Linked DNA regions of Alligator mississippiensis. The protein of the gene in region 1 interacts with the protein of each later gene in a biochemical or structural test. Links are inferred from orthologs where the notes say so. Each region holds a gene or a part of one and is shown on either strand. Other genes may lie near its edges.

Region 1 (15,153 bases):
CTTTTATGCATTTCTCCCTGCAGGTGTTGCTGGAAACCTCCCCTCCTGCCCCAGCAAAGCAAATGGGTGCCCCCACCCCCATTCCTGCTAATCTCTCTCCACTTCACAGGTGTGAACGACCCTCTCTTCTTTTTAATGGCCTTGATGCTCCACCATTCAAATATCCTTTCCTCTGCAGTGTTGTCCCTAAGTCCTTCCTGATACGGCCTCTCCTCTATTTCACTGCCCTGCAGACTGCTTTTAGCTCCAGCGCTAGTGTGGGAATATTAACTCAGGTGCAGAAATGACTGACAGTGAAGTTTTGGAGGCACTGTCAAGATGCTCAAGAAGGCTAGACTGTGTTTTATAAATCTGAATGAGAGACATACATTTAACTCGAACGATTGCAGGACTGATGACACAATATTTTTTGACTATTTTGACTATGTTTTGCCTGGCGTGTTGTGTTTTTATCGCGTTATATATAATCTAGCAAATTAGCGCACATTCCAATAGCTAGATTTGTGTTTGCTTCAATCTTCAACTGAATAACATAGCACTAACTCCCTAGGATATTAGGAAAGCTTCTAGTAACTGGAGTGTTGTGCTATTATGTGATGTGCCCCATCGACTGCACCCCTCTGTTCAACATCCTAGATCCACCCATACAATCATAGAAAATTCAGGTTGAAGGGAGCTCAGGAGGTCACATCTAGTCCAACCCCTGCTCCAAGCAGGACCAGCCCCAACTACATCATTCCAGCCAAGGATTTGTCTACCCAGGTCTTAAAAACCTCCAGGGATGGAGGTTCCCCAACCTCTCTGGGTCGCTTCTTCCAATGTTTTACTGAATTGCTGTTCCAGAGATGCATCCAGCTGCTGCTTCCCCTGGCACGGACTTCGTGTCCAGCACCCACTGCCCATGTCCTAGTCCTGTGTCTGGCTGGACACAGGGCAGCAATGCTGTAGCAGGCTGTACTAACACGGCGGGGCAGGCCTGGGGAGATGGCATCCATCAGAGGACACCAAGTGTGCAAAGCAGGACGTAAAACTTTGCTGCAAGGCTGAGGGCAAACCCAGCTGGGAGCACTGCGTACAGGGAATGTTTTTCTACCGCTCCATAAAAGCAGCCCCAGCTCTGATGAAGCCGAAGCAGCTTTTCAAGTGAAGACAATGACAAATCACTGTTTTTAATGCAAAAATAACCGCTTGGTTGAAAATGGAGACCCAGCGTCGAAGGAGAGGAAGGCACAGAACTGCTCTGCTCTGGGAAAATAAAAAATACCGACTCCCACGGTTGTTCTCAAATGCCATCTCTCCTTCACGCTGCGGGAAATGCCCCAGCTGGGGTCCCTCCGGCCTTCCCGGTCCCCTCCAGTGCAGAGCTGGTTCTGCTGAGCACCACGAGGGCAGAGCAGCATGAGGCCCCTTGGCTGATTGATGGGTGAGGGCTCTGTCCCGTCCCCAGGCCTTGCCATGTCTGCGCTGTCGGGGCTGTCCTCATCATCATCAACCAACACACGTTGCACCGGTTCCAGTCCACACAGAAATCATCCTTAAACCAGGCCAGGTGTTGGCACCTTCGCTCAGGCTGGGCATCGCCGCATGCCACGCTGCTGGGAGGAATAGACCGTCTCTGCCTGCACAGGCAATGCCATTCTTCTTCTCCATGGCTCACAAGCCAGCTTCGCCCTCGGGGAGTTTGCCAGCAAAAAGGACGGGACATCTCGGTAGAGACGACTTTGCAGCAGGTCTTCGGTGCCCAGCGGAGCTCCACCGATTCCCACCCGCGGAGCACCTGCAGCAGTCGACCCTTCGCTCTCCACCATCTCAGGCTTAAAAAGTCTAGGAACGCCCCAGAGGAAGAGATTTCCAGCTTCAGCTTCCTCTGTACAAAAATGAAGTTTATTTCCTACCTATGGGGACTTTTTACCACCTTTAACTTTCCCTGAGCCTGAGGAAGGGTGTGCAAGCCCGAAAGCTTGCAGACAAAGATAATTGTTTGGCACTTCCTCAGCTGGTCTAATCAAAGGTATCATCTCTGAACCCAGAGTTCTAGCTTTTTGCATTTCTTTTAGGACCACACGTGGCATTTATCCCTGGACACGTTGTGCCCACATCTGTCCGGAACAGAAATACAAGCGTGCACACATGTCACCCTTCTCATCAGGTTGCAGTGAGGGGCTGAGCAACACCGCTGCTTTTCTGCCACGGATTTGATGATGCAGCCCCAGGATAACTGTTCAGATGCACTTTGCCATGCCCCAGGATAAATCATTAGTCCTCCTTATCCCGTGATAAATCCTTCTTAGGATTTAGCCGGGGACAACAGACATGGACGTCTGAACAATCTCACTTTGTCCCAGGATAAAATGGTTTACCCCTGGACAAATGCAATGTCAGTTTGTAGCCAAAGACACGGGTACAGCTCCAGGCAGATCCCTCACCTTGTCAGTCCAGGAGCCAGACTTCCCTTATGAATCCGTGCCCCTGCAGGTTGCTCAGAGGAGGCCTTGGTAGGCCTTAGGGCACACGCACACAATGCACTCTGCAGCTGCCCCGGGGCTGTCAACCCGGGTAGCCTTGCTTAATTTTAGCCCACTCGATGGCATCCCCTCCCCGCACCATGCCCGCTGCATGGGGAGCTCTTCACCTCCTGCCCTGCTTGCTGTGCGGTGTGACGGCGTGAAATATGGATGCTTCGTCCCAGCGCACGGACTGGGGAGAGACGACGATTTCCTGGCCCACCGTGACCACTGTATTTATAGGAACTTCAAAATAAAGCCAGCTAGCAGCGCCTCGGCCCAGGAGACGGACCAGCAGAACGAGCTCCTGCTCCCTGCCAGCTGGTCGCCTTCCAACACTGCTGTTGCAAGGAAGAAAAAGCATGGAGGGGCATCGACACGTCCACGGCAGGTCCTGCCGTGCGTGCACGCAGAGGCTCACACTCATTGCCTGCAGCGCTGCCAGAGCTAAAGTGCTCTGTAAAGATGCAAAGGGGAGTGATGGCCCAGGGCCAGGATGGCACAGCCCTTCAGGCCCCTTAAGCAGCAGCAGCTAATCATGTTCGGTCTGGGGCTGCCCCGCCGACTCGGTCCCAACCCTGAGCCCGGGGATGCGCTGAATGCACCCGGGTACGCAGGCCGCCGTGGGGCAGAGCTGATGGGAGAGCGCCAGGCTCCGTTTCTCCAGCAAGACAAGGTTGCTCCAAGCAAATGGATCAGGGAACGAGACAAACGCTGGTTCGGTGACTTTGTCCAGGGCTCGTTTCCATCCTGCAGCCAGAAGAGACAGGAGAGGGAGACAGCTGCGGCCACTCCGGCAGCACCACGCGGGATGCTTCCCAACCTGGCAGTTATTTGCCCCCTTATCTCCTTTTGGGGGAAGACAGTCCCCAAAAAGCCCACCAGCCACGCTGGCGACCCTGCCCGAAGAGCCACCTCAGCAGGCCCCGTCACACCCCGGCAGCCCTGCTTTCTGCCTGGTTGCAGGGAGAGGGCAGGCAGGAGCTAGGTTTCTTGGTTCCCTTTGGATCAAAGCCTCAGTATTGCCTATTGCCAAAAAACAAAAATCATGACTCAAACCGTCCCCTCCAGAAATCGATGGAGTTAAAAGGCATTTGCTTTTAAAAACACCACATACGCCGCCCGCTTTCATCTGCCCCTGATGATGGAAACATTTAAGAGCTGCACATTGCCGCTTCCCCTGCAGCCACGATAGCCAGGGACCGTTGTTCAAAAAGCGCAAACCTTCCTGCCTAGTAAGTGGAGTCCAGCTTTTACCAACAAATACCCCGAGGCCTGTGATAAAAGCAGTATTGGAAATTTCCAGCCACGCGTCCCTCCTCAGATATCCCCCCTCTCCAAGCCTGGGAAGGGTGATGCATAAAATGTGCGTTGTGCAGGCAATAAAAGCGATGGTGTTTTGCATTTCATCTCTCTGCAGTGGTGATCGATGGGGTATTGAATTCAGGGCAAATTGCCCTCTGTCGAGGCATTCGTTGCTAATGGAGGACGGCGTGGAGTGCCGGCGAAATGGTTTCGGCAACATGCATAGCACGAACCGGCAGGGCAAGTCCGTGGCTGCCTTCTGTGGGGTGGAAGCCAAACCACCCTACTGTGTGTCATAAGCCCTCACCTGCCAACACTGATGGGGTGAGTCTGTGTGCTGGGGGGTGGGAAACAGGGAGCTCTGGGCTCCAGCTGAGCTGCAATGTTCGGGGCGGGCTTGACGGCCTGGACCTAAAGTGGGGAAAAGGTGCAGTCAGAGTGAGAGATGCAGTGCCCACTTATTGGGGGTGCTGGGCCTTCTGCAGTGCCTGGGGAGACTGGGTACCCCAGGACGGGGTCCAGAGGCACCTGCCAAGGAGAAGACTCAGGACAGGGGTGTCTCTTCCATCTCTGGCTCTGCGGCACCTCCCTTACCTGGGGTCCAGAGCCCAGACCCACTCTGCAAGGCAGGCACCTGCAGGCTCCCTTCGAAAGCCAGAGCAGGGCTCCCTCTCTCCCTCTAAAACAAGAGACATCTGCTCAGAGGGACCCTGTGATTTCATCTCATGGGGAAGGGGCGAGATGCAATACACGGTAATGCAAAACCACGGGAAACTGTGGAGAGGGAAAAATGAACAGTGGGGCTGGGATCTTCCAGGTCCCTTGGAAGCCTGCGGATGGGATTCCTCTGCTCCTCCCAGGGACCGAAAGGGGACGAGGACGCGTGGTGCCCTCTGGGTACAGCAGCCGGAGGTTAAAGCACCCTCCACCCACTGGGATCACTGCACACATGGGGATTAAAGGGTCTTCGGGAGAGCAGACAGGAGTGGTGCTGTAGCCTAGTGCTTAGGGTGCTTGCCTGGGAGTCTTGGGGTCTGACCTCTCATTCCCATAGCGATGCCATTGAGCTAAATGGCGGTCACTTGAGCAGTGAATGAACCTGGGTTTTGCGGATGGATTTGGCAGCTGTGTTGGTCCGAGACAAAAAGAAATGCAAAAATCTAGAACTCTTGGTTTAGAGATGATACTTTTTATTAGATCAACTGAGAAATTGGGGAAAAAAGGGCTTTTTAACCTTTTTCTGCAAGCTTTTGGGCTCACACACCTTTCATCAGGCTCAGGGAAAGTTAAAGATGGTAAAAAGATCTTGCATATAGGAAATGCACTTCATTTTTGCACAGAGGAAGCAGAGGCTGGATATTTCCTACATATGGGGACTTTTTACCATCTTTAACTTTCCCTGAGCCGGACAAAGGGTGTGTGAGCCTGAAAGCTTGCAGGAAAAGCTTTTTTTTTCTTTGCAATTTCTCAGTTGGGCTAATAAGAGGGATCATCTCTGAACCAGGTTTTTGCTGCATGTGGATGGCTATGGGGGCCTGTAGCAGTAAGAGTCGCGCTGTCGCAGGGCAAGTGTTACGTCCATCTGCAGCCCGGGTCTCGGGCTCTGGATGCTCCAGCTCAACCACCACGTTCTCCAGCTTGTTATGTGACGTCGTATCCCCCGTGATACATTATTATGCCTGCCTACAGCCTAGACGGTGGGCAATCAATGGTGGGGTCTCTAAGGCATCTCTAAGGCAGGGCAGTGGGCCGGGCAGAAACGCATGTCTGCTCAGCTGATTTCTTGTATTTCTTTTTGATTTCATGTAAACCGCGTTTGAGAAATGTGCAACTCATGCACCACGGGTGAGATGCAGACGAATCCCCCTGTGGAGACAGTCCTGGATCTAACGACGTCCTCCGTGGCCGTGTGCAGTTTGCATTGCACAATGCATCCCAGTGACGAGACCTTCCTGCTAGATCAGGCATGAGTCAATGCAAACCACGCGTCCTCTCGCAGCGTTATCAAGACTCACTGCACGGTTTCCCAGCCCACCCATGATGTCTTTGTTTAGTCCTCCAAACAGCTTGTCCGTTCTACCGTTTGGGGGTGGGAAGTACAACCCCATCGGGTCTTCATTTGCTCGGTCACAGGAATGATTGACGCTGTTGATTACACTCAAATCTCCAGCTGGATGGATGGATGGATGGATGGATGGATGGATGGATGGGGGGATTGATGGATGGATGAACGGATGCATGGGTGGACAGATGGATGGATAGATTTTCCTTGCTGTTATCTGAAAGCCGAATTTGTAGCGGATGTGAATGTTAATGCCAGAGGGTTAGAGAAAAAAAAGAAATATTTACAACTGGGGAAAGCAGAAATAAATGTTTCGCAATCAACTCAGAAAGTAGTAAACACGGCGCTATTTCTGGCCTAATTCATCGAGCAAGGGATGCTGTGTCTTTCGGGGGGGATTTCCAGCCCAAAAAGCACGGATGTTTTCACAAATGCAGCTCGCACAGACACAAAAACCCTGCCAAGGAGGGAAACTAGATGCCATGAGATTTTCTAATGCTTCCACAGTGCTCTGGACGTGGTGGACGAGGACTGACATTGCTCTAGCAGCGTCCACGGCGCAACACGCATGCTCAGAGGTAGCTGAGTAGGTGCTTGGATGCTTTGCTGGACCAAGGGATTCAGCACCACGGAGCAGGCAGCCTAGCAAGCAGAGGAGAGGGCTAACAGAGGCATACAGGAGTGACACCTCTAGTATACAGATATACAGGGCTAAGTGAATGCACACGCAATATTGACTGCATATCCAGGGCTGCAAACACAGGAGCTGCCCGTGCTCGAAGAGCATCGCGAGGTCAGACCTAGGCACATGTAGAGCTCGTCTTTCTTCGCCATCCGGTTGCAGTTTTGAAGGTTTGAACGTGCAGCTTTTTTCCTCCCACGTGGAGGAGGGGCTGGAAACCCTCTTTTCTAGGGAAATCTGGGATCCCGACACACTCACCTGACTCTGGGAGCTGATGCTTCAAGGACAGCATCGGTTCTGCCCAGGCCGGGGGTAAAAGTCACGGCACATGCACGACAAACCTGCTGTCCGGGTCAGTTGTGGCACATCACCCCCACAGCGGGTGAGGTTAGCTGTGGTGAAAGGCAAAGCCTGGAGCCCCTGAATTCACCCCCCAACACCCCAATCCCACCCTGAACACTGTCTCGTCTCCCTGCTGCTTGCACCTGCATCTCCCCAGCCTCCCAGCCCTACTTTTGTCGGGGCTTTCAGTTGAAAGCTGCCAGGCACATCCTCCGTGCTGCCTCCCGGGGGGATGAGGAGGGTCCCTCAGGTGAATCCCCATCCAAGGCTTTGCTGACCGGACGTGCTCTGTCCAGGCGCCGTGTGCTGAACCCCAAGCACCAGCACACCCCGGCCAACTTCCCCGGGAACGCTCTGGGCCCAGCACTGACCCACTGCTCCAGTGACTTGCAACCACGGGGGCTTCGCCGTGAAGCGTTGCTGCTTAGGAAGGGCCAGACATTGTGGAGGATAGCAAAAATCCCTGGAATCTCATCAACAAAGATCGCAGACTGGAGCCTGCAGGCCTTATTTAGTCAAAACCCCCTGAGCAAGCTTCGCAGAGCGGGGGCTTGCGCTGCAATCGCGGGAGAGCTGCACCCACCTCACTGGGAGCCTGCAGCAAAGCTCAGGCTGGCCCGTGCCTGCGTGGGGCTGGCAGGACCCCTGCGGGGGCTACGAGCCCTGTCCTAGCCAGCAACCCCAGGTCCAGCCTTCAGGAGAGCTTTGTGGCTGCGCGTGCAGGGCCAGAGATGGGCGGCTGGTTCCTGAGCAGAAGCTGGCCTCAAACCAAGGCTGATTTGGAGGCTGTTTGGGTCTCTAACTGCTGCTCCCACCTCCTTCTCCCTTCCCAGCTCAGCCTCACCTTCCCTCCCCTGGCTTCACCCCTTTCCAGGGCTGCCTCTCTGGTGAGATGCTGAACCAGACCCCCGGTCTAGAGCAGTCCCTTCCTGCTGGGGCACGTTTGGACTTGACCTTGGGTCTGCAAATGAACACGCTGGGCCTGCGTCTCTCGAGACTCCCCCTTCCGCCTGCTTCAGGTCAGACCTGCCTGCAAGCTCCCTGCTGCTGTCTGTGCCCACCTTGCACAGCGCTCTCTGCACCAGCGCCGGCACCGTCTGAGATGCCCACAGCTCCTTTTTCTGCTTGCGGTCCGGTGCCATGGGCTCACCCCTCTTTCAGCCCTACAAACACCCGTATTTGCTGGGTATGGTGAGAAAGCCCTGGACGCTGCCCAAGTTTTCCTGCTTGCAAACCAAGCGCTCAGGCACTGAGCAAGAAGGGCAGCCCCACAAGTCTCCTCACTTTGGCTGGTAGCTCCCTCTTCCCGCTAGAAACAGACAATGGGCTTCATGTGGCCCTGATTCAGCCAGGATAACAAACCCCCAGTCCGGACTGGGGGACGGGGAAACCCTTCCTTATTTGGTTGGTCTGAGCCTCTGGCTGGGACCTGGCCTGGCAGCAGTCCTTGACGTGCTAGGCTTAAATAGCAAATTAAATCGAATTAGACCCAAAAGGGCAAGTGGGAAAGCTCAGGTGCTGAAAGAGGAGGTAGGTGAGCTGTCTGGGATCTGGGCCCATGTAATTCAGGCCTTGCAACCATGTCACTGATGGGGACGGGTTCGCTTTAGCGCTCTGAGAGCTGAGGAGAACGTGAACCCCGGCATGCAGGGGCAGGAGGGCAGCTCAGCTCCCTGGGGTGCTCACAGCATGTGTGCATGCATGTGACCAGGGTGCTCAGAGTGTGTGTGCGTGCATGTGACCGGGGTGCTCAGAGCGTGTGTGCGTGCATGTGACTGGGGTGCTCAGAGCGTGTGTGTGTGCATGTGACCGGGATGCTCAGAACGTGTGTGCATGCATGTGACCGGGGTGCTCAGTGTGTGTGCATGCATGTGACCGGGGTGCTCAGAGCATGTGTGCATGCATGTGACCGGGGTGTGTGCATGCATGTGACCAGGGTGCTCAGTGTGTGTGCGTGCATGTGACCGGGGTGCTCAGAGTGTGTGTGCATGCATGTGACCGGGGTGCTCAGTGTGTGTGCATGCGTGTGACCGGGGTGCTCAGAGCGTGTGTGCGTGCGTGCGTATAAGTGGGGTGCTCCGGGGGGTGCGCTGCATGTGAGCGGGCACAGCTGGCCCCGGGGCCCCGGCGCCGCAGGGTGCTGCCCGGCCGCGGGCGATGGGACGGGCTGGTCGAGGCCGGACGCGGACTGTCTGGCCGTCGCCGCGGCGCAGCAGGGAGCTCGGCCCGGGGGCGGAGGCCGGGCCGGTCCTGGCCGGAGCAGGAAGGGGCAGCGGCCGGGAGCTGGAGCTGGAGCTGGAGCGGCGCGGGGCGGGCGGAGCAGGCTGGCGGGCGGGGGCGGCGCGGGGCGGGCGGAGCTGCAGCGTCCCGGGCCCGCGGCGCCGCGCAGCACGGGGCAGGCAGGGGCAGGAGCGAGCCGAGCCGAGCCGAGCGGGCCGGGCCGGGCGGGCCGGGGCCGAGGCCATGCCGTGCCCGCAGTGAGCGATGCCTTTGGGAAATGGCCCCACGGCAGCCCCGCGCCCCGCCTGGAGCCCGCTCTGCCGCCGCCTCCTCCCGCTGCTGCCGCTGCTGCTCCTGGCCGCCGCCCGCCCGGCCCGGGCCACCGCCACCGCCGCCACCGCCACCGCCACCGGGGCCTGCGCCCGCTCCTGCGCCGCCGGCTCCTGCCTGCTCAACTGCTCGTCCCGCGGCCTGCGCCAGCCCCCGCCCGCCCGCGGCCCCGCGCCCGCCGCCGCGCTGTGAGTACGGCCCGCCCGGCGCCGCGGTCCTGCGGGGCACGGGGATGGGGACATGGACCTCGGGTGTACTAGGGGGCACGGGCATGGGGCACGGAGCTGGGGTGTACTAAGGTGCACAGGGATGGGGGCACAGAGGTGGGACGTACTGGGGTGTATGGGGATGGGGGCACGGAGCTGAGAAGTACTAGGGTGCACGGGGATGGGGACACGGAGCTGGAGTGCAGTAGGGTGCATGGGGATGGGGACATGGAGCTGGAGTGTACTAGGGTGCATGGGGATGGGAACATGGAGCTGGGGTGTACTAGGGTGCACGGGGATGGGGACATGGAGCTGGAGTGTACTAGGGTGCATGGGGATGGGGACATGGAGCTGGAGTGTACTAGGGTGCACGGGGATGGGGACATGGAGCTGGGGTGTACTAGGGTGCACGGGGATGAGGATACGGAGCTGGGGTGCACTAGGGTGCATGGGGATGGGGACATGGAGCTGGGGTGTACTAGGGTGTACGGGGATGAGGATACGGAGCTGAGATGCACTAGGGTGCATGGGGATGGGGACATGGAGCTGGGGTGTACTAGGGTGCACGGGGATGGGGACACGGAGCTGGGGTGTACTAGGGTGCATGGGGATGAGGACACGGAGCTGAGATGCACTAGGGTGCATGGGAATGGGGACATGGAGCTGGGGTGCATGGGGATGGAGACATGGAGCTGGGGTGTACTAGGGTGCACGGGGATGGGGACACGGAGCTGGGGTGCACTAGGGTGTACGGGGATGAGGATACGGAGCTGAGGTGCACTAGGGTGCATGGGGATGGGGACATGGAGCTGGGGTGTACTAGGGTGCACGGGGATGGGGACACGGAGCTGGGGTGTACTAGGGTGCATGGGGATGAGGACACGGAGCTGAGATGCACTAGGGTGCATGGGGATGGGGACATGGAGCTGGGGTGTACTAGGGTGCACGGGGATGGGGACACGGAGCTGGGGTGTACTAGGGTGCACGGGGATGGGGACACGGAGCTGGGGTGCACTAGGGTGTACGGGGATGAGGATACGGAGCTGGGGTGCACTAGGGTGCATGGGGATGGGGACATGGAGCTGGGGTGTACTAGGGTGCATGGGGATGGGGACACAGAGCTAGGATGTATTAGGGTGCATGGGGATGGGGGCCACGGAGCCAGGACACACTGGGGCACATGGAGCTGGGGCGCATGGGGGTGCACAGGGCTGGGGGGGCACAGAGCTGGGGTGTACTAGGGTGCATAGGGATGGGGCACACAGAGCCAGGGTGCACAAGGCTGGGGACATGGAGCTGGGGTGCACCAGGGTGCACAGGGCTGGGAGATGTCCTCTCCCCTTCTGTGCTCACACACGGGCAGGAGGCTGCTGGGGGCTGTCAAAGACCCCCTGCCCTACCCTGCCCTGGCTGGGGGGTGCCCCCGGGCAGCCCGCTGTGTTGCCCCAGCACTGGGTCCCAGGCACCCTCCAGCCCTGTCCTGCAGCAGGAGGGCAGCGGTGCAGGGCAGGAACGGAGGCCGGGCCCAGCCCAGGGCGAGGGGAGGCAGCTTTGCCCGGGCAGGGGCCAGTGAGGTGCCCTTGTGCCCCTGCCTTGCAGAAGGGCCTTTCCCCCGTGAGCCCTGGTCTGTGGCATCTCATGGCCCTGCCAAGCCTCCTGCCCGTGCTGAGCCGTGGGCACTTGTAGGGCGGGTGATGTTCTTTGCAAACTCTTCCTTATCCCTCCGGCCTCGGGGGTGTGCAGAGAAACTCCCGAGATGTCCCTGAGGTCCAGGGACATCTCAGCTGTGCGCACTCAGGGTGTCTAGAGACGCAACGACCCGTCTACCACGGGTCCACCAAGCCAAGTCCCTGATTTGGGAGCCAGGCTAGGGTCGAGCTGCGAGAACTGCTCTTCTGTCTTGTAGCTGGCATGTGGTCGCCCCGGGTCCGTCACTTGAGGGGAAAGCTTTTCTGCACTTCAGGAGACAAAGTGATTCAGGCCCAAAAGCAAACTTAAAGCTCCCGAGAGCCGTTCCCCGCGCAGCTGGAACACCTCCGGTTGCCTGCCCGCGACGGACGCAGCAGTGAGGCAAACGCCCGCGTTTCCAAAGCTTGACAATCCCGTTCGAATCGGACCTTCCACAACGCCCTTGGAGATGCTGAGCTCAGCTCCAGCTCCCTAATGTGGGGGCCAGATGGAGAGGGCCGGTGTTTTTCCCTGAAGTTGAGACTGGGGCGTTCTCGGTACTTTCCTAGAGGAAAATACCGGAGTATTCAGTGTTTGTGTAGGGAGATACAAGTTGGAGAACGAGATGTTTTGTGACCTTTGAAAGGAGACTTAGCCTAGCCTTGCGCCGGTTGCTGCAAAGGCCGTAGCCGAGCCTTGTGCTGGTGGCTGAGTTTTTAATGTTCTTACAAAAACCTAAGCAAAGGCTTTTGCAAAAATTCCTTAGTTGGGTGAGATCAGTTTGGTTGCCCAGACTGCGTATGTTTGGAGCTAGACATTCCTGGTGGAGGCCCTGCAAGCTTAGCGTTCCTCCAGACTACAGCCGGACCTGGCTGCGCGAGGATCTTGAAAAACCCTTGCAAGGAGAGCGGTGGGAACAGGGAGCATCCCGGGAACCTCTGGTCTGGTTTTTGGAAAGGTTTTGGCTTATTGCAGTGGCTTTATCCGGAGCGGTAGTGTTGCTGGTAACTGTTTACGCTGGGTGTGGAGGTGAGGAGTTGGGTGGGCCGTTCTGATGTCATTGCAAATCCAAGTTGCACGCTAAGGGCCAGCTAGATAAACCCCCCAACCTGCAGGAAGACTTCTTCTGGAGTCAGGCGACTGAGACTTCATGGTGTTATTATCAAATTCTCCTTCATGGATGAATAAGCAAGATGTGTTTGGACACTTGTTGAGAAGGACGGTTTGCACGCATAGCGTTGCTCCGGTAAGGAGTTGTCATAATTGGACCGGTCGTCCAGCGTGCGCCATGAAGGCTATGAAAAGATGCACTTTTCCTGTTTTGCCTGCCCAGATGTTTGTGCCCTATAGCTCCCGGATCCGCATTGGGATGTACAGTGTAGCCATGTAAATAAACCATGTAGCAAGCTTGCTACTCTGTGTCTCTTGGGAGCAGGAGATATACTTGCCTACGGGTGGCTCTCAGGATATATGTTTGACCCCCTATATTTGCACATCCACAAGCTAGGAGGGAGGGAAACTAGACCACATATACAGCCTCCCCAGTCTGACGTTCCTTTTATTGAATCCCGACTCATAAAGCAGGTGGTCTTAATATTCAGCTACTTACGCTTGCACATTTGCTCGAGGGAGCATATTGTAATAAAAGCGTCAGAGCTCTATGGATAACTTGAGACCAAATGAAAATGGCCTTTTATGAAAGCAGTGATGTTGGGCACAGTATTAACACCAAAAGGGATGATACACGCCGTGCAGCGAACTCGGCCGGGTCTGCGGTCGGGCGCGTGGTAATTGCTCCGCTGAAGGAAAATGCGATTACGTATGGGGAGCTCTAGATTCAAAGTCTACGGAACAAATTCCTCCGGTATCGAGCAGAACAGCCCTGCATTTTCGCGTTCGGAGTTGCCAGCGTTGACGGAGCGGTTGCTGTGAACACAAAGGGAATGCCACATCCAAAAGAAATCAAGGGGGAAAAAACCAGCCCTGCCAGACATCCAGTCTGCATACCTAGATGAAAGCGGGGGCCTGCTCTGTTGAACAGGACATCAGGAAATGTGGCTTGCAGGGGCACTGACGCTGTTCTGCAGACACGCCTAATTGAGATTTAAAAGGAAAGGCGAAGCACGCTCCAGTCTGAGTGTGCGCTTGAAACGTGTCGCGTTTAAGGCGTCGGTTCTGGCAGGTCTGCGCTCGCACCGATTGGAAAAGTGTTTTCAGACGACCTTAAAGCGCGCTCCTGCGGGTTTCCTTCACCCCTTTGTGCTGCGGTCGGTGGGGACTTGGTGAGGTAGTTGATTTCCAACACTTCTGGACACTTTTGGTGACTTTTGACACAGGATTAGTATCCGTTTGTATAAAACGCACGTACTGTGGAAACGTCACTTCTTTTCCCTTCCACAATCCTGACATTTTTCAGGGGGGTCCAAAAAGGTGGTGTTAGTTTGCAGCAGAGACAGCACCAGAACGCTAGCAGGGACTCGTAGCACTTACAAACAGCTCCATCCTGTGAACACGCTCACTTTGCACACTCAGCACTTTGCACACTCAGTCCTTTAGCGCCCATAAGACTGCTTAGGTGAGTAGGGTAACTGTGCAAAATCGGGCCAGGATTGGGTGCTGAGTACGGTCTATCGCCACGTTATTTTGGGGGGACTGCGGTGCCTGTTGTCTGGGTCACCTCTGCCAACGGGCAGCCTAGCAAACAACTTGAGCTCAGCAAACCGTGTCAGGATAAATATATTTTGCAAGAGCAGAGCATGTGTTTTGTCACATTTATTTTCTCACCCATTTATTTGCAAGCCTCTGCCATTTACAGCAGGTCTCCATGAGACAGCATTTGTGTCTTGAAACAGAAATAAAGAAAACCCCCTTATTCCGGGCTCGAAGGTGTCCGAAAGAGAATGAAAACTAAAATCCAATTAAAGGGAAAAACAGCAGCAAGCCGCCAGCCCGCAGATCCTAAATATCTCCGCTTCAGCTCCTAAAAAAAGTGGGAGTCTTTCTCCAGTAAGAGTCCTCATCTCCACCCGCGCTGCAGGCCCAGGATCTCGTGTTCAAAAAACTTTTATGAGCGAGGGCACAAGTCGAGGGCCAGAGAGGACTCAGTGCAAACACATTCACTCTCGAGGTTGCAAGGACAGAATAAACTGTGTTTTTGAGCCCAATATAGCCTGAGTTAATTAATGCAGTGAGCAAGGTGGGGATGTAGATGGTGCTATTAACCCCTAGCAGGGAGCGTCACTAGTGCCTGTGCGGCTGGAGGCGATCGCTCCCCACAGCTGGACGGCATTGTTTACGGCCCTGTTTCCAGCTGTTCCAGACCCGTTCCAGGTACAGCCCTCTTTTCGGTGGTTATCCTTTTTCATTTTGAAGTCTAATTTGGGGCTTTTTCGGCTGCTAGTGTTCAGCATTTCAGTAACACAAACACAGTCACTGAGGACACTGTGTATCGGGGAGCGGACGTGACAAAGTGTTGCGCATGTCTGCTTGCAGAACTGGCCAAGTGGTTGTGCAGAAGAACCAGGAGCAATATCGAGGCATCTTGCCTGCTAAGCTGTCTCCGGAGTGGCCTTTTAAGGGTTTGTGCTCGGTAATTCATTGCAACCCCATTTTGCAGATCAGACCAGAGGTGGCAAACGCAGAAGCGGCAGCTACACATCTCAGCTGGGCAGGACAAAGGCTCTGCTGTCTAGAAACCCATCCATGCTCCCCATTCAGGTCCCAAATGTCTGTGATACAGGATCAGACCCTAAGTATCCAGTTGCAGGATTAGACCCAAAGTATCCCGTTGGCCAGATGGGCTTAAATTGCAGCAAGGGAGATTTCGGTTAAAAC
Region 2 (15,342 bases), on another chromosome or scaffold:
TTTCTTCTGGGGTAGGAAATGTCTTTAGATTTTGCTTGCAAATAGCTAACATTGCAGACTTTTTCAATTCAGCCAGTTTCCAGTGTGGGCCCATTTTTAACCCTCATCCGTTCTCATGAAACTGTAACAGTTGCTGTTCGCAGGGGGTAACTTGTTACTCCGCAATTTGACATTGTTGGTCTCATAGGGTAACTTATTACCCCACCCGCATGAACAAAATGGAACCAGTGACAATAGTATAAATGTACCAAAAACTATTTATTAAACATACAGATTGTTGGAAAGAGTACTTATGATTTGAACCCAAAATACTATTTAAATAGGACTGTGAATGAAATTTAAACTTTTTTTTTTAGTGTTTCAAAACGTGAACGTACAATTTGCTAAGCCTGCAGTTCACACTGTTTTCAAACTAACAATTACTTCAAAAACATTTTGTAACTGTTTTAACTAAATATTGCATTCCTCACAAAGCAGCAGTGATGTACTGTGGTGTACACAAGAAAATCGCTTACAATCTTTGCATCTTTTCTGGGTTTTGCAGTCATCTGTCCTTGGACAAAAAGCACAACATCTAGTCATGCTTGCAAAAGGTTCTATTGGGGTGCGTTGTGGCAATTTGTAATTTAGGCCAGTCATACCAGCCTTGATAGATTCAGACAGATTACGTGTATCCATCATTCTTTGTTTTATTTGTCTGTCGATCAACTGTTCTCCAAGCTCCTGCAAAAAAAAAAAAAAGCACCACCTTCTTATATGTGATCTTTGCTTCCAGTTTGCATTGTGGCCCACGCAAATGATGAGGCTGGCAGTGTCAACCAGATCCAGTATATTGAAAAATAGTGTCATTGGTGATTCTCCCCTCCCCCCACCCCACAGGTGGTCGTATGGACTAAGTCGTCAAGGTTATCCACCCCACCCTTGTTTTTATTGTAGTCGGGGATAATGTCTGGCTTTCTTCGCTCTCCACCCACTGACTGGTCATGGTGCAGGCTTGACAGCAACAGCCCAACTTTGGACTTCTTTGGAACATAGGAAACTGGGGAGAGTTCCCCATCAAAAGCAAAAATGGATAAAAAAGTTTCCCTTCTTTGATTTGCTTATTTTGTTTGGGATATTGTCCTTGTTTTTCCAAATCATACCCACATAGGTCAAGTCCTGCTGTAGCAGTCTTTTTGCCAGGTCAATACTTGTAAATAAATTGTCACCCACAGTATTTCTTCTCATCTTGTACAAGGGATAAACCAGTTTTTTCAACGACCTGGGTACCAAGATTACCTTGGCATGGAGCTTCTGGTTGCTTGCCCAGGTAGATGTCTCCAGACAGAGGGAATGATGTTGCTGCATCACAGCACCACCAAATTTTCAAGCAATATTTGGCAGGATGGCTGGGCATATACTGTCTGAAGGGACAGTGACCCCTGAACACAATGAGCTGCTCATCAACCATCAGGTGTATTCCTGGAATATACCATTTCCTGAGCTGCTCCACTAATTGTGTCCAAATATCTCTGAAGACCGCAAGCTTGTCCACAGCTCTCCTTTCCTCACGTGTCAGTTTGTTGTCAAATCTCAGGTAGTTGATGATTTGGCAGAATAATTTTAAAGTCATGGTGGCACAGAGGCAAGGACACCCAATTGCGTTGCTCCCACAACTCCTCCAATGCCTCATGACCACCATAGTATAGACCACTTAGCAGTAGGAGGCCAACGTAGACTTTCAGCTCTGTTTCTTCCAGCTTTTTCCACTCCTATTTTCAGGATCGCTATCATTGCACTCCCTGAATCTTCTTTCTGCCTCTCTGTTTGTTTCTTTTAGTATAACAGTCAGGATATCTTGTGAGTCAGGATATCTTGAGAGAGAAACTGATGGAACATTTCCACCACCATGTCTTTATTACTTTCTCTTGTTGGCCCTGCACTTTCATGGACTACGTCCTTGGCTGTTCTCCGAAGATGTATTAGCTGTGGACTTTTTCCCCACACTCTGCCATTCCTTCCTGTAAAGGTGTCATCATCTGCAGTGTTTTCTGGGGGTGGTGGCAGTGGTTCTGCTCCACATCCTGCTGTAGCTCTCCTTGGTCTTCCACAGCAACCCCGGACTGATCCTCTTCCCTTTCCCACTGGAAGTGATGGCATCACTTCTGCTTGTGGCACCAACTCCTCCTCATCTGAGCTGGATGAAGCTTCCATAGACACGTGATCTTCCTGCTCTGAACAGTCTCCCATGTCTGGAAAGAAGTCAGAATCCTTACTGCCTTGGGATAAGATTTCATCAGTGGACGTGTCGCTTTCATCCCCGGTTACCTGTTCAAGACAGGCTTAAGCACTGAATATGTGCTGCCTTCTTATCCTGGACTGCAGAAAAAAAAGAAAAAAATTGATTACTGCTGAATGCATATAAATAACAATCAAAGACAAGCCTGTCTACCTATGCTGTCACAGAAGCAATTCTGCCCTGCCCTGTGGCAGTGCAGGTAACACCCTCTCCTCCTTGGCACAAAAGCCGGAGACCATCATCCACCCTTTGCAGGCAAGCCAAGTGTAGGTGGATGCTGTTTGGAAACCACATATGCAGGAGCTTATTGAGAGCAGGTAAAAGGGGCATGGGGGTGTCGAGCCCTTACCATTGAAGGGGACTCCATAGTGTACTCTGTATTGCAGTATGCTGTTGTTCTGTTTCTTCTCTGCTGTCCCTTTGCTCCTTGTCCTCACTTCCAACAAAAGCAGAGCAAACTAACTTGTATATTATGAAAGAGGTAGATGAGGTGGAGTTTTGTCATGAGAAAAGAGAACAGACATGGATTTGGGTGTGACAAAGGGTTTTTGTTTTTTGGCAAAGGGCAGGGTGTTTTGATAACCTTGCAGCCTGCAAAGAAAGTGGTTAGCAAAAGGGATTACCACATCTTTGGCAAAAGCAGTGGAGGATGGCCATCCATTAGTTACCGTGGATACCTGAAATGGACATGAATGAGGTGTGAATGAATGCTGATCTTTCAGATGTATCCACTCTGGCTAAACAGGCCTAGGCCTGTCATTTTATACAAAAATTGGATTGGGTAACAAGTTACCCCAATGCGTTAACATGAGCTTGGAGTAAATTGTTACCCCATACGGAAAAACATTCATGCCTGGGGTAATATGCTTTTCATCCACAGAGAGCAAACTATTCATGTAAGCTGGCTGTTTTTTGGGGATATTGGGTGCTGCAGTGCCTGTGGCAACTTCTTAAGAAGAAAAAAATGTAGAATGAGTTAACTTTAAGATACTACACAAAATATGCGTCTGGGATAGGAAATTACCCCATGGGAACATATGACGGTTAATTCTGAGATGTCCAGGTAGAGGATGGCCGAAGAGTTAATGTTGTAAATCCTAGTAATTTTATAAACTTTTGCTGCTTGCAGTCAGTCATTTTAAGTAATGAAACCATACTCTATTCTCACTGTTCAACATATATTTTTTTCCATACATAAAACACTGGAAAGAGAATATGGTAGAGAGGCTATCTGAACAAGAAAGAGGTGCTGCACAAGATCATATTATCGCTTTATACTCAGATACTTATGACAGCTGTGAAGTTGAAACTTTTTTTTACATAAGATTTTTGTTAATGAGAGATTACTGCACAGCAAAAAGGAAAAGCATCATTAGACTTTTGACATTGGGGAATTGGCTAGATGCATGAGATATGGATCTGAGTGGGTTCTGGCAGGTCTTTGTTAAAAACCTTAATTTATAGTGTGTTAGCATCTTTATTTCAGGAGTTTTACTTGAAACATGGAACCTTTGGTAATAGTTTGAGGATTGGTGCTTCAGTTACTTTTGGTTTGGGGTTTTTTTCTATCCCATGGCAAGGAAGGAGCCATATTGCACAGTGAAAGACAATGTGATATCAGATAATGAGAAAAGACAACATTGAACTAAATTGGAGTTGTCTTAAAAACAGATGGAAAAGATACAACATCATCAACGTCCTTTCAAATATTATCAGAGCTTGTGTTAAGGACGGAATGGAAATGTGGCTTTTACTCGCTCTGTGGGTTAGGTTAGCACCACCATAATACAATTCAGGATGGTTGTCTGTAACGGGTGAGGAGCATGCAGGGTTGATTTGTTTTTTTTTATTTTTATTTTTTTCTTTTAATTTTTTTAAGAGGGTCTCCATTCAAGAACAGTTTGGTGGCCTCACACTTGCCAGAATCCAGAAAATATTTTATTTTGTAGATTCATGAAAAATTGTATTTTGTCAGAAAGTTGTAAATGAAGGTGAAAAAATGGGGGAAGGAAGAGGGCTTATCCTGGTAATACCCACTAAAATGATTCAAGTAATGCCCCTTGAAATGGCTCTGTAGGTGAGATCCTCAGCTCTCTTGAATAGAAAAGGCACAAAGGGGTTCTTTAAAGCCTCATACCAAGATGTGCAGGATCTTCCTGCAACAAGCATTGCTGGATTCCATAATTGCAGGACCCCAAAAATCAGAAGTGTGATTATTGGGGTCCTGCATCGGATCCCATCATGCCTTTAACATCTATCAGGGGCCTGCGTGACAGCTTCTTGACCCTGAGCCACAGACAGCTGAGAATCCCTTGGGCATTTCAGTTTAATAAGTGAGTCAGGCCTAGTAACTAGAAGGGCATTCTGGGACAGGGATGCAGAACTTTTGTGTAGAAAAATTCTCTAGTCCTCTAGATCAGGTGGTGAATGAAGTGCCTCCCTCTGGTTGTCCTCCAAGTGGCAGAGTTTCCTGGAATCTCTGCAGCACTGCATCTCAGTCGTGCTCTGTCTGCTCTTGAGCTCTAAAGAGGTGCAGGACACATTCTCCTCTACGGTCTCCTTGTATAGCTGAGTGCATGAAGAAGTTTTAATGTAAATGAGAATCCAGCTCTTGCTATCTTTTCCCACAAAATACAATGCACACAACTGATGCATCTTATCTTAACTGTGAATTGAGAGCTTGAAAATTCTTAATTCTGTAAAAATATTTCCATTGACTCTGGAGTATGGGAGAAGTGCAAAAAATGTCAGGAATGGTTTTAGCAATATTGAGCTATTTTAATGCACTTTTTCATACAGTGGACAAGTAAGATCCTTTTGATTGTAAACAGTAAATGGTCCTCTCCATGGAAAGCTTTAGTAAAACATGGAAGATACGTATGATCTGAACAGGCAAGGTGATCAGATTCTTCAAGTCAGGGAAGATGCATTTTTGCTTACATTTTAAAGCAATGCTGTCTGTAGGCAAAAAAAAACTTTCAATCAGCAGTCAGTGGAAAATTAGAATATTGGGTTGTCTGCAAGTCTATAGTGTAAAGGTAAAGGCTTAAAGATAATGACTTTTTTATATTGTGTAAAAAGTATTACTTTCACTGTTCTAATATGAATACTGTACTGCATTGTCCACTATTATCCAAGGGTCTCTTCATTCAGGGTCAGATTGTGAACTGTTTTCTGTGACCTTACAAGGGAATTCAAAATGCTTCTGTGCTTAGCAGTGCGGGAGAAGGTACAGCTTGTTTTGGGAGAACTGTCTTCTTTGGATGGCTATATAGAGGCAGTATGAATGGCAAATAGCAGTCTGGCCTACAACCTACCAGCAAGTGTAGCTGGGTTGGAAGATGTGCACTATCTTAGATAGAAGTGGCACAGGGGAAAGGTTCTCTCAGCAGTGACAAAGTGAGAGGTAGGTTGTTTCCTACTATGCTCATCGCCGTATACCTGGCACAAGGTATAAAATAACACTTTCCACAGAAAAATCATGGAACCTCTTTATTCCTTAGAAAACAACAGAGTAAAATAGAATGGTGGCTATCTCTCTTCCTCTAATTGATTTATAATCATTTGATTTAAAGGTCAGATTTTAAAAGACAATTTATGTTTTGCCACATAAAAATTTGTCTTTTGGAAAAAAAAAAAAACTCCCAGCAAAAACTTGTTCTTTTAGGCAAAGATATTAAAAAGAAACAGCTTGGGGAACTGAAACAAGCTGTCCAAACTTCTAAAAGTTGCACTTCCTCAAGGAATTTCAGCAATGGTCTAAAAGGGGACTGGAACAGTTAAGATAGTTTTGTTTCATTTATTTTTAATTTTTTAAATAGGAAGGAACACTGTGTAAAGATTTCTCAAGAGATAAAATGAAACATTTTTAGTTATTTGACTTGAAATTATAGTTATAGATTCATAGATGTTAGGGTCAGAAGGGACCTCAATAGATCATCGAGTCTGACCCCCTGCATAAGCAGGAAAGAGTGCTGGGTCTAGATGACCCCAGCTAGATGCTCATCTAACCTCTTCTTGAAGACCCTCAGGGTAGGGGAGAGCACCACCTCCCTTCGGAGCCCATTCCAGACCCTGGCCACTCGAACTGTGAAGAAGTGTTTCCTAATGTCCAATCTAAATCTGCTCTCTGCTAGCTTGTGGCCATTATTTCTTGTAACCCCCAGGAACGCCTTGGTGAATAAATACTCACCAATACCCTTCTGTGCCCCCATGATGAACTTACAGGCAGCCACAAGGTCGCCTCTCAACCTTCTCTTGCGGAGGCTGAAAAGATCCTGTTTCTCTAGTCTCTCCTCGTAGGGCTTGTTCTGCAGGCCCTTAACCATACGAGTGGCCCTTCTCTGGACCCTCTCCAGGTTATCCGCATTCCTCTTGAATTGCGGCGCAGTACTCCAACTGCGATCTGACCTGCGCCCGATAGAGGGGAAGTATCACCTCCTTGGACCTATTCGTCATGCATCTGCTGATGCACGATAAAGTGCCATTGGCTTTTTTGATGGCTTCGTCACACTGCCGGCTCATGTTCATCTTGGAGTCCACTAGGACTCCAAGATCCCTTTCCACCTCTGTACCACCCAGCAGGTCATTCCCTAGGCTGTAGGTGTGCTGGACATTTTTCCTCCCTAGGTGCAGCACTTTGCATTTCTCCTTGTTGAACTGCATCCTGTTGTTTTCTGCCCACTTGTGCAACCTATCCAGGTCTGCTTGCAGCTGTTCCCTGCCCTCTGGCATGTCCACTTCTCCCCATAGCTTTGTGTCATCTGCAAACTTGGACAGAGTACATTTCACTCCCTCGTCCAAGTCACTGATGAAGACATTAAAGAGTATTGGTCCAAGGACCGAACCCTGCGGGACCCCAGTGCCCACACCCTTCCAGGTCGAAACCGACCCATCCACTACGACTCTCTGGGTGCGACCCTCTAGCCAATTCGCCACCCACCGGACTGTGTAGTCATCCAAGTCACAACCTCTTAACTTGTATGGGGTGGGATACCGTGTCGAAGGCCTTCCTGAAGTGTAAGTGTACGACATCCACCCCTCCTCCTGTGTCCAGGCATTTCGTAACCTGGTCATAAAAAGAGACTAGATTGGTCAGGCACAATCTGCCTGCCATGAACCCGTGCTGATTTCCCCTCAGCATAATTTGTCCTGCCGGGTTCTCACAAATGTGAGTCTTGATAATTTTTTCAAAGAGTTTGCCAAGGATGGAGGTGAGACTGACTGGCCTATAGTTGCCCGGGTCCTCCTTCCTCCCCTTTTTGAAAATGGGGACCACGTTAGCCCTTTTCCAGTCCTCCGGGACTTGGCCCGTGCGCCACGAGCGTTCAAATATTCCCGCCAGTGGCTCTGCAATGATGTCGGCCAGTGCCTTCAGCACCCTCGGATGGAGCTCATCCGGGCCTGCCGACTTAAAGGCATCCAGTTCTTCCAAGTGACTCTGCACCATCTCAGGGTCTACGCATGGAAGTCTGGCGCCTTGCTGATGCCTCTCTACAACCCCAGTGAGAGACTTGTCGTGTCCCTCACTTAGGAACACTGAGGCAAAGAACTCGTTGAGGAGTTCAGCCTTGTCCCCCCTGTCTGTCACCAATTGTTTCTGCCCATTTAGCAGCGGTCCTATTCCTCCCTGGGCCTTCCTTTTACTCCCTATATATCTAAAAAACAATTTCTTGTTGTCTTTTACTTGGGTTGCCATCCTCAGCTCCATGGTAGCTTTGGCCTGTCTAACTGCCTCCCTGCAAGTACGAGCAGAGGTGGTATATTCATCTTTGGTGATCTCACCCTGTTTCCACTTTTTATGTGCTCCTCTTTTGTCCCTTAGGCTGCCCTGGATTTCTCTGGTCAGCCAGGGAAGCCTCCTGGCCCCTTTCCCTCTTTTGCCTTGCTTGGGGATCGTCTTGCTTTGTGCCCGAAGGATCGTTTCCTTAAGGCACAGCCACCCTTCTTGTGCTTCCATTTCTTCAAATCTACTCTGCAGTGTGTCCTTGACTAATCCCCTGAGTTCATTGAAATCAGCTTTCCTAAAGTCTAGCACTTTTACCCTACTAGTTACCTTACCCACTCGACGTCTTATGGTGAATTCTATTATTAGGTGATCACTGTCCCCCAGATGGCTACCGATCTGGAGGTCCGCTACCATGTCATCTCCCATTGCCAATACCAAATCCAGTATGTCATTCCCCCTAGTGGGACCGTGTACCTCCTGTGTCAGGTGGAGGTCCTGTACACAGGTTAGAAACCTGCATGAGCGGTGGGACTTTGCTGTCTGCGTCTCCCAGCAGATGTCCGGGTAGTTTAGGTCCCCCATGACTACCGTCTCTTTAGCTTTTATGGTCTTCGAGAGCTGCCTCAGGAGCCCCAAATCTCTTTCTTCCCCTTGATGTGGGGGTCTGTAGCAGACCCCTACCACCAAATCCCTTTCTCCTTGCCCCCCATGTAGCCTAACCCACAATCCTTCTACTTCCTCATCCTTGGATTCTGTCTTGATGAGGGTTGACGTATATTGCTCACTGACATAGAGCGCAACCCCTCCCCCTTTCTTCCCCACCCTGTCCTTTCTGTACAATCTATAGCCCTCAATATGTACCGCCCAGTCATGGGATGAATCCCACCAGGTTTCTGTTAGCCCTACTAAGTCATAGGTGTTTAGTGCAAGCAGGAGCGCTAGTTCATCCTGCTTGTTTCCCACTTATATTCCATTTTGTTTTGAAATAGCAAACCGCTATCTAGTAAATAATAAAAAAATGACATAAATACAGGTGTAGGTTTACTATTTTATCTTATCTTTTTTCCAGATGTAAAAAAGCTATAACTAAAAGCAATATCTGAACAAATACACACTTGTTTGTGCGTAAAGCTTGCAGTAAATGGTGAAGGATAGAACATTTATAATGCTAAAATGTTTGAATGCAAGTATCCCCTTGCATGTTGAGGTATTATCCTTAGTCATATACTACAGCATAAGAAATTATACTTCTTTGTCCCAGCAGAAATGGTGTATATCCATCTTTTGTTTGAAAAATCCTGCCTAAGGATCTTGCTGCAATAGCTGCACCTGAATGCAGAGCTTTCACCTGTGGGAGAGGGCTTTTATTGTTTCCTTTTCAGAAGGAGGTGGCAGGCCCTCTGTAGTGGGCTGCGGAGCCAGAAGCTATAGCTCAGCCGTAAGCGCTAGTGCTAAGTACAGGCTCTTCAGGAGGACTGGGCCAGCTGAGGGAGATAATTAGTGGCCATGGGAAGCTGAAAGGCTCCCAGGGAGGAGAGCAGAACAGAAGTAGAGAGAGAGTGGTCTGGCTAGTAGGTAGAATACAGAACCAGGGTTTTTTGGGGTCTGAGAACAGACCCAAAGGCTGTAAGACCGGGAGTAGCAGCACCATGGCAGAGAGCTGAGTCACAGCTGGTCCGAGAGGAAGGACTGCAGTGAGGAAGAAGCATCAGTAAGCTGAAGAGCAGCTTGTCTGGGGCTGAAGAGGACTCAGACCTGTGAGTTAACCCTTTATGGATTGTTAGAGGACCAACTGATGTACGAGGATGCATGTGAAACAGGTGTGTCCTGGGAATAAGGGACTGTATTGTGTTTAAAGATTTTGGAGCCAATCAATAACCCTGAACCTGCTACACAGACCTTGGCATTGTTAACTATGTGCAAATGGTTTAGTTGCTGCCCATTTGAACACCAACTTCATTTTGTGTCTTATGCTTCAATAACTGCGAAGCCACCTAAATAGGGTAAGGGAAGAGGTTCCATGCAGGACATGCTCACTGAAGGGCTCTGTAGCTCCAGATTTTGCCTCTCTTCAGGTCTCAAAAAAGATTTTGGGAGATTTTCAGGGCACTCTCAGAATCCTGACTTTGTTATGGTGTTGGTGTGATAGGGGCTGTTTTAATGTGGATCTGGAGAGGAATTTATATACTGGCTAGTGAGAGGAGCTGAGGGTTATTTGGCTATGTAATACATGTGTTTAGTATTTATGGTTATGTTATATGTATTTTTTGGGGGAACTGCTGGAGTGAATGGGTTGTTGGTGGTCCCTCATGTATTTTTGGCAGCTTTGGAAGAGAATCTTTTAACTGGGTCTTTGAAACATTTGATTAAACATGTGGTTCTTATATGATGGTGGTATTGATGTAGTCATTGAGGCCAGACGGTTCTTCTCTTGAAAGGTAGGTGGGGAGTAGCACTGTTAAATGTATTGTAGTTCTATGGTGTCTGTTAATTCTCACAGTTTAAGTCATGGCTTATTTTGTTTTAATTAAGTAGATAGTTCAGACAAATCCTCTGCCCCAGAAAGCAGAAAATGTACTGAATGGCAAGGTTTTGTTCAAAATGAGCTTATCCTACATAGTTCAATGAAATATTGGGAATGATCTGGAATAAAGTAGTGTTGTTCCATTGAAGACGGTGAATATGTGCAAGCTTGTGTCAGTTGAAAATCTGGGCCATGGATTTTATATGAATTCCATTTAAAAATTAAACTGTGGCCTTCTTTTTATAAAACATCACCAGTGGCCTACTTGCCTACATGGAGAGGATATTAAAAAACTTCAGATGACTTCCTGAAGTGGATGACTCCTGACCTTGATTGACTTTCTGTTTATATATAATTTATATAGAAATGTTGCAACATATTTATTCCAAACAAGAAAATGCAGGTGCAAGATTTTATCTGTCTGTATTGTACATCTAACACTCAATTACCTTAGCTTCTGTTGAACCATATTCTAAGCTTCTTCCTGTCTAACCATCATGCAATATTTAGTATTTTTAGCCTTTAAGGATAGTTCAAGCATTGTATTTTGACACTTGACCTAAAGACAAATTGCTCAGTGAGCATAACAAATAGCAAAAAAAAAAACAAAACAAAAACTGACCCTAAAACAGTTCAAGGTGTCCTGGCTGGAGTTAGTTTTCTTTCCTCTCCTCTGGATATAATATACCATATCTTGGTTTGTATTTGGAGAAGAATTAAAAATCAAATGTCTTTCTAGGTGACACTCTTTTCTATTTAACATGCTTGGAGATACTTGGATTGAATAAACATAAGTTTTTAAAATCCTTTAAAAAGAAGTTGTATAACAGAGACTCTAAAGAGAGAAAGAAAACCCACTGGTACCTTTGGCGTAATATATAACATAGAATGCATTATGTAGAATATATAATTATCTTGGACAATAGTAGGTTTTATAAACTAGGCATATGATACCTAGCTAGTACGCCTGTGCGAGTAGGCAGCTATTCGATCCGGCTTCGGATCCGGCTGCTTTGGATGCCAGGGATCCAATCTGGAGCTCCAGAGCGGTTTCCCGCTTCGATCTGGCTGAAGTGGCTCCGAAGCTTCAGAGCAGCCTCTGAAGCCTACAGTTTCTATTTAATTACCCACAATGACCATGATCAAGTTAGTAATTAAATAGAAACTGTAGGCATATACTGCAGAGACGTGGAAGAGATCTCAGGGATAAGCTGGTCCAGGGCTGTTCAGATCTGGTGAGGCTGTGGGCCCCAGATGACGCCAGCATGTGTTGCACAGGCTGCATGCTATGGAGGTGGGCCCCTAGGACCCCCTCACTGCATGGGCTGCTCCAGCAGCATGCAGACCCCCATCCTCAGCCACGCAGGCTACATTAGCAGGACCTGAACCTCCAAGGAGGCGGCTGGATGTAGAGTGCCTCTGCACTGGGCTCCTCCTGCCCAGCCCGGCTCTGGCAACTGTGTGCCCCGCAGCCCCAGCCTGGCCCCGAGGCGCCCCCAGCTCCGCGCGGGAACTTACCTGGTGCCTCCAACCACCACACATGTGGGCAGGGCGCGGGCCATGCTGCAGCTCCCCCAGCCACGCACAAGGGGTGGAGCCAGAGGAGAAGTTGCAGGTGCTGTCCCCAGGTCGTCCAGTCAGGCGCGGCTGGGGCAGACCCCCCTCCTCCCCCCGCAGCCCTCGGAGCAGTGGCGGCGGGACCCAGCTCGTATGATGAGCCTGGCCCCGCGGGGGTAAGCAGCTCTCCTCGCTGCCGGCTGGGGCCCATGGGCCAGCCCTGCCTGCCTCGCCGCTGCCCTGCTGCCGCTGTGGAGCAGGCTCCAGGACTCCTCGCCTGTCCCGAGCGAGGGACCTTGGGCCAGAGAAAATGGCTTGGTGGGCATCATGGCAGCCCGCGGGCCATGTGTTGGACAAGCCTGGTGTATGGAGTCTCTGCTTTAGGTTGGTACTCTTTTATAAGTTGTTTTGTTCTCCCCTTTTATGAGGCACCTGCCCTCTTACTATAAGCTCCCCTGAGCCTTTGTTGGGAATGGAGAATTAAATCAAATGACTTTCTCAGCAACTGATTACCAGGGTCTGGGTGAGAGAAAATTTGAGAGATTCTGAAGGAAATCATGAAATTATGCCTTGCCATACATAATTCCTTCCTTTTTAAAACTTACAATAGAAAGTGAACACATTGGTATTCCTTATGACAACATAGATACATAACTGGAAAGCGCAATTCTCTTTTTATGTTAGTTCTCACTTGACTCACAAAGATGGATTTACATATATGAACCTGATTCTTTGGCTTCATTTTGCCTGTGGAGTGCAAGAGCGTTAGCTGCCTCCCCTCTCCCTCATGGTGCTAGACATGTTGTTGAAATGATGACCTTATTTTAGTGTACCTGGTTTCCTGCTCCTTGTAGAGTCTAGTTAAACAAAACAATCTCCCCCCCCGACTCGTGAAGACTACCTTGTATACTTTGCCATCCTATCCATAGGTGCCGACTCCGTGGGTGCTCTGGGGCTCAAGCACCCACTGAAAAAAAATTAGCAAGTGCTCAGCACCCACAAGCCATGTCTATTTTGGTTTTGACATTATAACAAAGAAACAACACTGTGCTTTACTGAAAGAAGCAGCTTGTTACTTCAATCTGGCTCTGCAGCATCTTTAAAGACTGGGTGCTTCAGAGGCCTTTTGGTGCTTTTAGCTAAACCTGATTCAATCAGCTATTAGATAAAGTGCTAAAAAAGCCCCACTAAAGTGCCCGATCTTTATAGGTGCTTTAGAGACAGGTTGAAGTAACGCGCTGCATCTTCTGGATATGCACGGGGCTCAGTGTGGGAACTCGCCAAGTTTAAAGTGCTTTTCTCATGTGTATTTAATGTCTATAAGCACCCACTGGCAAAAACCAAAGTTGATACCTATGAGCCTATCCTTCCATTCCTGAAGTCTTCTACATTTCATTGGTATCAATTTCAAGTTGAGAGCAACGGAGAAATACCCTTAAAAGAACTCTGTAGGCTACTGTTTTAACAGAAGAATGTACTAGCAAAATATCTTAGTAAGCTAAGTACCTTACTACTTGGCTATATTCTAATCTTATTTATTATCATGGCCATATCTGAAGCAGCACCTACATTGCTAAAGGAATATACTCTACTTGAGATGTGTAAATTTAAAAAAGGCTGAAAGGAGGAACTTGGTTGAAAGCTGAGTCAGTTACTGCTCTAAGTAGTGGGAGGGAGTAACAAGTAGCTAGTTGACTAACCACTTCCCTTTGTTGTTGCTTTTAATTTTTGCCTGTTAATATGACTTAAGCAGAACTGTATTCTGTAAACCACCACGAGTTACATAAGTGGGAAAATGTATGCTGGGCTCGGTATGTTCCTTTCATTTAAGATGTGTAAGGTAAAGTTAAAGTATTTCAAAAGTTGCAGCTTGGATAGTCATTGGAAACATTGTATAAAATAACTGTGTGGTAGATAAATGGATGCAGAACATGTGGAAACAAATGTCACAATAACAGATCAACTTCATGGGTTGGGACAGGGAGGGGAAGGGAGATAGGATATCTGTCTAGGTCCAGGGAAGATGCATAGTTTGTACTGGTTTTAACTACTACTCTTTCTAGTTCATGTTTTTAAGCAGTTTATTCTGCAAGCTAGGAACAAAGAACAAAAAAAGACTTAAGGATTTTGGAACCTGTGATGAGAAGATTGGTTGTTTAATTTTCATTTTTCAGTGAGATGACCATGTAAATATCTGTTTAACTGCTGAATATTATTACTTAGTGCCAGAGGACTTCTGGGTTGCCAACATAGCAGCCACTTTGAAAAAGCATTCCATAGGTGATCCACCAGTGTGTCTCACTGTCATACCTGGCACATTGCCAATTTCATTCTTTATCATATTTTCTACCAGTCACATGGACAAATATGATCTTTTGGGGAAGAGGCAGCATGGTTTTTGTAAAGAGAAATCCTGCCTAACTAATCTGCTGGAGTTCTTTGTGGGTGTTAATAAACATGTAGACAAGGCAGGGCATCCAGCTGGACATACATTTAGAGCAGGGGTTTCAACCTGTTTTGATCAGTGTACCCCCAGCGACCAAACGCGGAGCAGTGTACCCCTGGCAGCTGGATTCTTAGCAGGGGGTTGGGGTGGCTGCGCACAGACAGATGCCAAGCAGTGCGGCAGCCACCACGGGCGAGTTTCTCTTGCCTCCCACATCTGGGCGGGCGGCAGCAGCGCGGGATGGTGCATGGTGGTGCTCCGTTCCCACCTATCTGCACATACCCCCTAGGGCCTTCTCAATTGCCCATGGTTGACAACCCCTGATTTAGAGTTTCAAAAATCTTTTGACAAGGTCCCTCAAAGGCTTGTAAAAAAATAAACCGAACAAAAAAAACATTTATAGATCTGGCCAGAAAGTAGAAAGCAAAAGCAGGGTAGGACTAAATCATCACTTTTCAAGATGGAAAAGAGATCAAATGTAGGATCCTGTGGGGATATGTACTGGGCCCAATTCTATTCATTATTTTTACTAGTGATCTGGAAATGGGGGTGCACTGTGAAATCTCCAAGTTGGTAGATGACACTGAATTATTCTTGGTAGTCAAATCCCAAGATGATGGAAAGGCGTTACAGAAAGCTCTCACCAAGCTAAGTGAGTCGGTGAGCAAAAAAATGGCAGATGAACTTCAGCGCCGACAAGTGCAGCATATTGCATGTGGGGGGAAAATCACCTCAACTATATTTACACAGTGCTGAATTCTGAACTCGGCTGTTACAACTCAGGAAAGAGTCCTTGGGGAGAGTTCCCT

What was found.
Region 2: the proteins of PKD1 (region 1) and HDAC9 form a complex in vitro, tested with the Homo sapiens proteins (2 studies listed by BioGRID, with this or other methods). The link is inferred for Alligator mississippiensis from reciprocal best matches to the Homo sapiens genes PKD1 and HDAC9.

What each region holds. Positions count from the first base shown.
Region 1 is NC_081836.1:57,687,316-57,702,468, reverse strand, and holds the start of PKD1 (polycystin-1), read left to right. Parts: upstream 1-9,259; 5' UTR 9,260-9,379; coding exon 9,380-9,633; intron 9,634-15,153. UniProt on the Homo sapiens protein: Component of a heteromeric calcium-permeable ion channel formed by PKD1 and PKD2 that is activated by interaction between PKD1 and a Wnt family member, such as WNT3A and WNT9B. Both PKD1 and PKD2 are required for channel activity.
Region 2 is NC_081828.1:162,518,887-162,534,228, reverse strand, and holds the start of HDAC9 (histone deacetylase 9), read left to right. Parts: upstream 1-9,203; 5' UTR 9,204-9,801; coding exon 9,802-9,826; intron 9,827-15,342. UniProt on the Homo sapiens protein: Responsible for the deacetylation of lysine residues on the N-terminal part of the core histones (H2A, H2B, H3 and H4).